Danio rerio: one gene and its partner. The protein of the gene in region 2 interacts with the protein of the main gene of each other region in a pairwise test. Links are inferred from orthologs where the notes say so. Each region holds a gene or a part of one and is shown on either strand. Other genes may lie near its edges.

Region 1 (4,396 bases), on a different chromosome or scaffold from region 2:
TTAAAAACTTATCCAACACTACGGCAGACGGCGCTGTCATACAAATATCATAGCAAATTATTATTTATGTAAACTCAGCACTCCGGAAAGTATTGTACATTGTCACTCGTGTGTTTTAATGAGGGAATGCGGTGATAATTACAGTTTTGAGCAGCCCGAAAAATGCAGCATGGACTGCTGGTGACGTCACCACCCGCTGTCGGACAGTGCGCCAGAGAAACCTCTCCGGCATGAAACCATTTCTTTAACGATTCATTCCTGAATTTGCGTGTTAATGTTGTCCTTAATTTAAAATTTCACCTAAATTTAGTGCGATATGTCAGTCATGGTATTTCACCATTTGTTAACATGTTGTAAATGACAGATGTTCATACAATGATGCACAGTGGTTGGAAATAATTTCGTCGAATCGGTTCATTTGAACAAGGAACCGATTTAATGATTCTGTTTGGTCAACTGCACGTAATTAACAATTAAATACGTAATTTTGGTCCAATTTGTAGTGTAGCATTTAAATAAATCAACATGACAACACAACATCGACACAAATTTTTTTTTTACAATTCTGTCCTGCTGTGTGAAAGAACCGGTTAATAATGCACATAGATAAGATCCGACTCAAATGAACAATTCGTACGCTGGGTTGCCAAATCTGCTATTTCACAACACAATTTGATCATTTTGAAGAAATATTTCACCGAAAAAAATCTGAGGATATTTACTCATCCTGCACTTTTCCAAACCAATTTGAAGTACAAAGTTTTTTTTTACACAAATTGAGGGGTTAGGAACCATTTTAGGACAAGTAAATAAAAATAATTATATTAATAATAATAATAATAACATTTTCACTTTAACTGTCCCTTTAACTTCAACATGTTTCACAGCAAAAAGTTAAAATGTGTGCAGAAATGTGTGATTATAAGTAAAAGATTAGCTTTAGTATAATGTTCTTAAATCTTAAAGCTACATTTTAACTTATTGAAAAAGAATAACCACTTTTTTTCCAAAATATTGTATTCACTAAACTGTTCATCTTAAAGAAACAATTCACACAAAAGTGAAAAATTAATTAATTAATTCTAAAAACGAATTGTAAAATTATTTACTCACCCTAAAACCATCTGAGATGTAGATGACTTGTTTGTTTCATAAGTAAATAAATACGATTTTGTTTTTGTTGAAACCATGATCCCTTTTCATATATTGGAACTGGCTCTTTGAGTGTCAGTAAAATAAAATAAAACTCCTGTATCTAATAATATTCTGATGAAAAATAAGGCAAGATGCTTTTTTGACTAACTCTGATTACATACATTGAAATATTCGCGTGTGACTATAAAATATATATACTTGTGTATTATGAGCACGTGTATGTGAAGAGGCATATTTCGAGTTTTGACTTGTTTAGTCAAGATTGGGCTAGTTTTATGCAAGTTTTCCACGCCCAAAGGATGGCTATTTAACAGAGATCTGGCAACCCTCCTACATAACAACATGGCAGCTGCACACGGGTCGTCTCCACATAGCAGCGCGGGTATGGAGGGTTTCCCGTTCCCCGTGGCTGGCAAACCACCCGAGGACAGTACGAGTAATGACCAGACCACTACCGGAGAGACGAAAAAGAAACCTTGCCGAGCTTGTACGGATTTTAAGTCATGGATGAAGTTACAGAAACAGGCGTCCTCAGCCTCGGTGCAGGTGAACAATTATGAATGAAGTCAAGAAAATTCTGTTTAGATATAACGTTAAAATGTCCAACACGATGTCTGCTTTAATTGTGAACAATCAAAAGAATAGCAGTGTTTTGGACTTGTACTTTTTAATACAGCTGCCTCTGTAAAGGTGTGGATTTGACATGTCAGAAGGTATTTGAGTATTCCCTAACTTCATATTCATATGCTCATATGGCTGACAACTGTTTCGGGCGGTGGGGGTAATATTTTTATTAAAGTTATGGTTGATGTGGTTATAAAATGTTTATTCAGTGGGGTAATAAATATTTAACAAGTATTTAAGTAATAAGTATAGAATATAAATGAAAAATAAGTGTTGGGGAATTAAGTATTGATTAAGTATAGGATATAAATGTAGAAACATACACTTTAACACTAAAACAATTTAGATAATGAATGCTAAAAAAAAAACATGAAATCAATATGACATATGATATTTTCTCTACAGTTTTGCTAAAGAAACATGTAGCATAAAGATATAATATATTCAGGGTTCAGACGGTCATGGAATTTTGACATGGCATTTTCCAGGCCTGGAAAAGTTTTGGAAAATCAGAAAAACCCACAAAGATTGGGAAAAGTCATGGAAATTAGTTTAACAAATATCTGTATACTTAAATATAGGTTAGTGGTCTTTACTTCGTTTCTGTCCATGGCCAAACACATCCTCTCACATTATCAGTGCTGTGTGAACATTTACTAAATACATTTTTCATAGATATAAAGATTCATTTAAAATAAATAGATCGTTGCATGTTTTATGATATGCTGTAATAATTTTGAACGTGCATTGTTTTTCTTATTATTTACCATGTATACGTAGACATTACATGAAACATTAGGTTATGAAAATGTACTTGATAGTCATGGAAAAGTCATTTAATTTTAATAGTCAAATGTTTATGAACCCTTTAAATTGGTATATTGTTTATTTAAATTAAATGACCTATTTGGGGATGTGAGGGAGTTTATTGATATTACAATCATGTCAGTTGTAGTTGATGTGTAAAAATAATCATTAATTTAATACGTTGGTTACTATAACACTGCACTATATAAAATCTATTTTAATATTGTTTTTTCTAACAGTGGTTTTCAACCAGGGAACCTCAGAGTCTCAGCAACAATATTAAAATAAATGTGATATAAAACATGAATATAATCGTAAAATGCAACGTGATATGTTGTACAGGAGAGCAGGCCGGTGGAGGAGCTGAAGCCTGTTGAATGTCCGCTGGACCGCGAGGAGCTGGGTAGGAGCTCGTGGTCTTTTCTTCACACTATGGCTGCGTATTATCCAGATGCACCGAGCACAGAACAGCAGCTCGAGATGACGCAGTTCATCAACCTTTTCTCTAAGGTTTTCCCATGTGATGAATGCGCAGAAGACCTGAGAACAAGGTCTTCATCTTTAATTGCTGTGGTTTTCATGTTTGTCCATTGCTGTTTTCAGCAGCACATGATTCAGTCAGTTTGTTTACATGGACAACAATTCTGATATTAAATGTAGCTCTCTGATTAACGATCTCTACCATGTAAACAGATTTTTATTAACATTAATACAGAAAGTTATACTCAAAGTAAACACAAGTGTAATTCACTCATCTGGAGTAGTGCTATTTTACTCATATTATCAAAGTGTGGTATATAGACATGTACGCATATATCACTTTATTACTGTCATGTAGGATTTTTGGTTACAGCACAGTGATACAGCAGTAATCAAAAGTTTGACGACATGGCTGAGAGGGCAGAATTTGTTTCTACTAAGGTCTGTTTACATCAGGCGTGTCCAAACTCGGTCCTGGAGGGCCGGTGTCCTGCATATTTTACTTCCAACCCCAATCAAACACACCTGGGATAGCTGATCAAGCTCTTACTAGGCTTTCTTGAAACATCCATGCAGGTGTGTTGAGGCAAGTTGGAGCTAAAATCTGCAGGACACCAGCCTTCCAGGACCGAGTTTGGACACCCCTGGTTTACATGTATAGCATGACCAATGGTGTAAAGTAACATATTGCAAATGCACAAATCACTGTAATTGCATAGTTTTTCTAAGGAATTAATTACCGAGTAGTTTTAAAATGTGTACTTTTATCCAAGTACATTTTTAGTACTGTATTAGAACATTTACTGTCGTATTTTCCTTCAACCTGCAGTAACTACTCTATTTTTTTCTTGCCTACTGTGATTGGCTTAGTAGAATAATCAGTCCTATCCAATCACATCACACAGGAATAAATCACATCAAGTTTTCAAACACAAGCACACAGTGCTTTAATTCCATCATTGCTGCATGAGCTTGGTTTGACAGCATTCAAAGCATTAACATACTGTATCATCACAGCTAGATTTTTGGCCTTTAGTTTACACATTTTTCACTCCACATATAAATGCTTTCCTAAAATTAAAAACTGTATATGGTACCATAAAGATGATGAACTGTATGTTGATATTTGAAAATCAGTCAGATGGCATCACATAGGGACATAATGACATGTGCCATTCTAGTATTTACTATAACCTGCAACGTGTGGTGGCCGAGAGAGCTCAAACAATTTTCAAGATAAAACAACATTCACAAATTGAGTGAACATCTTCATCAGTTTGACAACATGCACAAGCAAACTCTTAACAACACATGCAAACAACACAGAGTT
Region 2 (4,276 bases):
CAACATCTTATAAAACGCATATAAATTAGATACAGTTGCCTAAAAATAGTTGCTACCTTCGGATATGTCCTGAAAGCTCCAAGATTGACCTTCCCTGCGGATATAGTCCTTGTGGGATCGATCTGAGGATGAAAAATTACAAGGACTGAAATTAGCAAAAGAGTTCAGTCAAATATAACAAATAAAAACAGTAAGCTGCCAGTTTTGCGAGTGAAAGTTATGAACGCCAGCTTGCTATTTGCCCTCGGCACTACATAAGCAATGAAGGATAAACTGTATAATGTATTCTGTTACAAAGGCAACAGTCATTAATCAGACAGCAGTACAAATGTCATCAACTCATTTGTGTCTTGAGGGTCAATTATGGATCACTGATAAAGCTGAATTTAAACCGATACTTTTAACTATTTCATAGCGGAGCTGTTTTCCCCTTGTGTCTTTTGAGATGGATGGTAACCCGCTTTAAAGAGGGAAATCAGCAAAATATGCAACAAGTTTAACATTTCCAACAGCGCTTACCACTACTGCGACAAAGGGCTCTTGAAACTGCTGGTTAAGCATCTGAGTGCTGACATCTATGCCTGAAAGCCAGCAGCCGTATCCTGGATGACTGTGGTACCATCCAATGGCATTCTCCAACCGCCCCACCTAAATAAATATATAGACAATTAACCTCAGAATTATTGAACTTCCATATCAATTCTTTCATATGCTGGTTATTGCGAATTGATGCATAATGTGTTTATACATTTATAAAGTGCATTTTTGAGTTCCTGTCGCTTGTCAAATTTTATTTTTTATTTTATTTTTAAAATCATATTTAATGGCAAATATATCTCAATTAATATTAGACCTTTCAATCTGAATAATAATAATATTAATGATAATTATAATAATAAAAAATCTTTAAAATATTGTTAGAGTAAAAAATTAATTTGCTTGTTCATTTCTGTTCCTGTATTGCATCTGTTAAGTATTTAAATTTTTTGTAGTATTTATTAATTACTTTGATGTGATAAACACATCTGTGTCCTTACTGCATGCAGTCCCTCAATAGTAAAGTATGAAAACTGAATAAAAAAAAAAAAAAAATTATATTTATATAATAGGGCTGCATAATATACTGTTTTAAAATTGATACCGCAATGTGCGCATCTGCAATAGTCACATCGCAGGATCTGCAATGTCGAACCGTTATTATAATTGACCAGGAACCACATTTGAAAACACTCATGATGTGTGCAGTCATTGCAACGTTCAACCATAAAGTTACCAAAACCTTCACTATTTCTGTGCGTTTTCACCATTTACTCTAGCAAAAGAAATTACATTTCTAACTTTATGGTTAGAATGGTTTCACACTGGATTATTAAATTTGTAAATCTGAATATTGCTAGACTTCTAGAAAATCATAAAGCACTGTATATTTTATTTGCCTTTTATTTTCTATTTGTTCTCTACTGTATTGGTTTATTATATTTTATGTGGACCCACTCCCTTACATTAGAATGTCAACGTATCGAAAACTATACATTCTTTCCAAATAGACCTTTTTAATTTAATAGCATTCAATTTCTTTTTGTTTCAAGTCCTGTGACAAGAATTCTGTTCCGTCTCTCAATTAATATTAGAAAGTAAAGACTAAATAAATAATAATTATAAAAGATCTAGGATGATTTTTAGAGGAGTATAGGAATACAATTCATGTTTATTTTAGTTCTGGTAACTGTTCACTTTTTATTTTAGATTTTTTTTTAAATCACATTCGAGTTTATTAGATTTAAATGGTTCTGTGATGCGATACATATTTAGATGTCCAACTACTTCATATATTCTCTCTATTAATCCTAAACATGAAAACAGAATACAAACCAATAACTTTCTTTACTCTTTAAATTGTAATTTTTATATACACGTTTTAAAAAGGTAACCACAACATGTAGCTTCTCACATAACATTGGATCAATCCTAAAAACGTAATGCAGAATAATTATAAATAACAATTAATAAAATATTTGTGATGATATTGCTCTTGATTAGAAAATCTTAAAGATCAGCATACATGCTCCACATATAAAGCAGTGGATATGATCATGTTTATAAACAAACTGTGCTTATATTTATCACTATTCATCTAATATGAATTTTAGAGTAATTATAAGTCAGTGTACCTGTTTAGCATTCTCTATATAAGCAGCCATGTATTCATAGGCTGCAGCCTGAGCGTTGACTCTGGTTTCAGTGCCTTCCACTGGTAAAGCAAAACTGTCCATGATGATCATGGTCTCTCCATCCACCTTCCCCAGCATAAGTCCCATCACCTCCAGGTTTCCTCCAGATCTAGCGTGCATCACCATCTTCAGCAGTGCCAACGCCGATAGCTTGCAGTATTTAAAATAATGATGACTGTAAACAATTAAAACAGTGTAGGTTACACAACAGTGGTATTAATAATTCGAAAACAAGCCGGGCCTCTAGGAGACATCATTTTGGTTTTGTTTACTTACTCTTTAGTCCACGGTTTGGCCGCCAGAATTTCTTGTTGTTGTTTTTTGTCATATTTATATATTTCGTCGATACTCTGAACTTCCTGCATGCTGTTTGACAGCTCCCATGTTTTCATCGCTATGCTACTGCCAGCCATAGCTAATACTACAGTCGGCTTATATCTTCTGTTCGACTATAACGAAGTATGATTAATAACACTCGCAATTAATAAAATATGAAGAGCTAGATAATGTTAAAATTGTGTAGTTTATCTAACTATTTAAATAGATCATTTAGCAATAATTAACAAAGCTCTTGCAGTACTCCTTTTCTGAACAACTCTACAACCTGAGTGAAGCGAAGCGAGCGACCGTACGGGTTACTAAGGAATAAAATTGATGCCAAAATAAGAGTCCTGAACGCAAACCGACCGCTACTGTTTTACAGTCTATGGCACCGCCACTGTTTCTTGATATATTCGTTTTTGTTTAGTTGTTTATCTAAGATATGGTTCGATCTATGTCATTTCTGTTTAATGACCCACTTCGTAATGTGACAAAATAGTGTTAAAAATTGATCTACCTAATTATTTGCAAATAATAGAGGTCATATTTGGTCTATTTCTATTTGTATTATATTATAGAATTATGATATTGTATTTCTGAATATATTAATTATTAACACATTTACTTTCTTAAAAAATAATTATCCTCTTTAATTAAACTTGTATTTATTTGTCTTTATTTGTCAATTGTTTTAATATTTTTAAAAATTGCATGTTGGATAATTTATAATATGTTATGTACTCATATTTGTGTCAGTTATTTCATTATTTTTTACAATTATTAAATTGTTTATTTTTTATTTTATATCTCAATATAATGTTTGATTGTTTATTTTAAACTAATTTATTGTTTAAAGCATTTAAAATTTACGTTTCTTTTTATATATTTTATTCTAAATTTTTATTTTTTTATTTTTTTTGTGCAATTTTTTATTGTAAAAAGGGAGAAATTTCAGTTGAATCAAATAAAGTTGTAAACAGTCATAAACTCGCTGGCATTTTAAAGCACCTCTTTTGTTTTTATGAAAATATTAACGTGGCGTTAAAAACTACATTTCCCAAAATGCACTGCGCAGACACAGTTCAAAGGTTACTGCTACAAGGAAGTGCAGAAAAGTTCTCAGTTAATCTTCTTACAAACTATTTGGTTTAGCAGGTCAGAACTCAAAGATACAAAAGCACCTTAAAACAGATTAAAAGCCCATGCGCGGGTTTTGCTTCAGGGCGTTTCGTTCCCGCGCACTCCTGCTCTGCCCGGTGCTTTCATTGACAGATTAACGTTACATGATACCTTTATATGTCTTCTGTCCACCTTCAACTAATCAGCTTTATGAATCTGTTTCAATCTCAAATTAGCAGAAAGGTAAGTACAATCTTAAATAAACCCCTAACGTTACTTTTAAAAAAATGTTGTACAATATAACTTATTTGAACCTACTGTCCTGCTAATGTAAAACTAATTCATAATAAAAATCTATTAGACTAATAACAGAATGTTTTCATAAATTCATTTGTGTATCTTCTTTTTGTAAATCAGTGTCAAAGGTCTGACTGGAGACAAGATGAAGATGGTGACATTCTTCGTTGTGGGACTCATTGTGCATGTAGTCTTCTTTCTCTGCATATTTGACATTTATTTCACATCTCCTCTTGTCCATGGAATGACTCCTCAGCGGGTCTCTCTGCCCCCTCCGGCCAAGCGCCTGGTGCTGTTTGTGGCAGATG

Evidence for each region.
Region 1: the proteins of cops5 (region 2) and gfer interact in a two-hybrid assay, tested with the Homo sapiens proteins (2 studies listed by BioGRID). The link is inferred for Danio rerio from reciprocal best matches to the Homo sapiens genes COPS5 and GFER.

What each region holds. Positions count from the first base shown.
Region 1 is NC_133178.1:39,110,291-39,114,686, forward strand, and holds the start of gfer (FAD-linked sulfhydryl oxidase ALR), read left to right. Parts: upstream 1-1,482; 5' UTR 1,483-1,497; coding exon 1,498-1,701; intron 1,702-2,928; coding exon 2,929-3,137; intron 3,138-4,396.
Region 2 is NC_133199.1:27,636,031-27,640,306, reverse strand, and holds the start of cops5 (COP9 signalosome complex subunit 5), read right to left. Parts: upstream 2,825-4,276; 5' UTR 2,645-2,824; coding exon 2,508-2,644; intron 2,407-2,507; coding exon 2,172-2,406; intron 649-2,171; coding exon 520-648; intron 123-519; coding exon 57-122; intron 1-56. Other genes in the region: pign (GPI ethanolamine phosphate transferase 1), read left to right, coding at 4,114-4,276. UniProt on the Homo sapiens protein: Probable protease subunit of the COP9 signalosome complex (CSN), a complex involved in various cellular and developmental processes.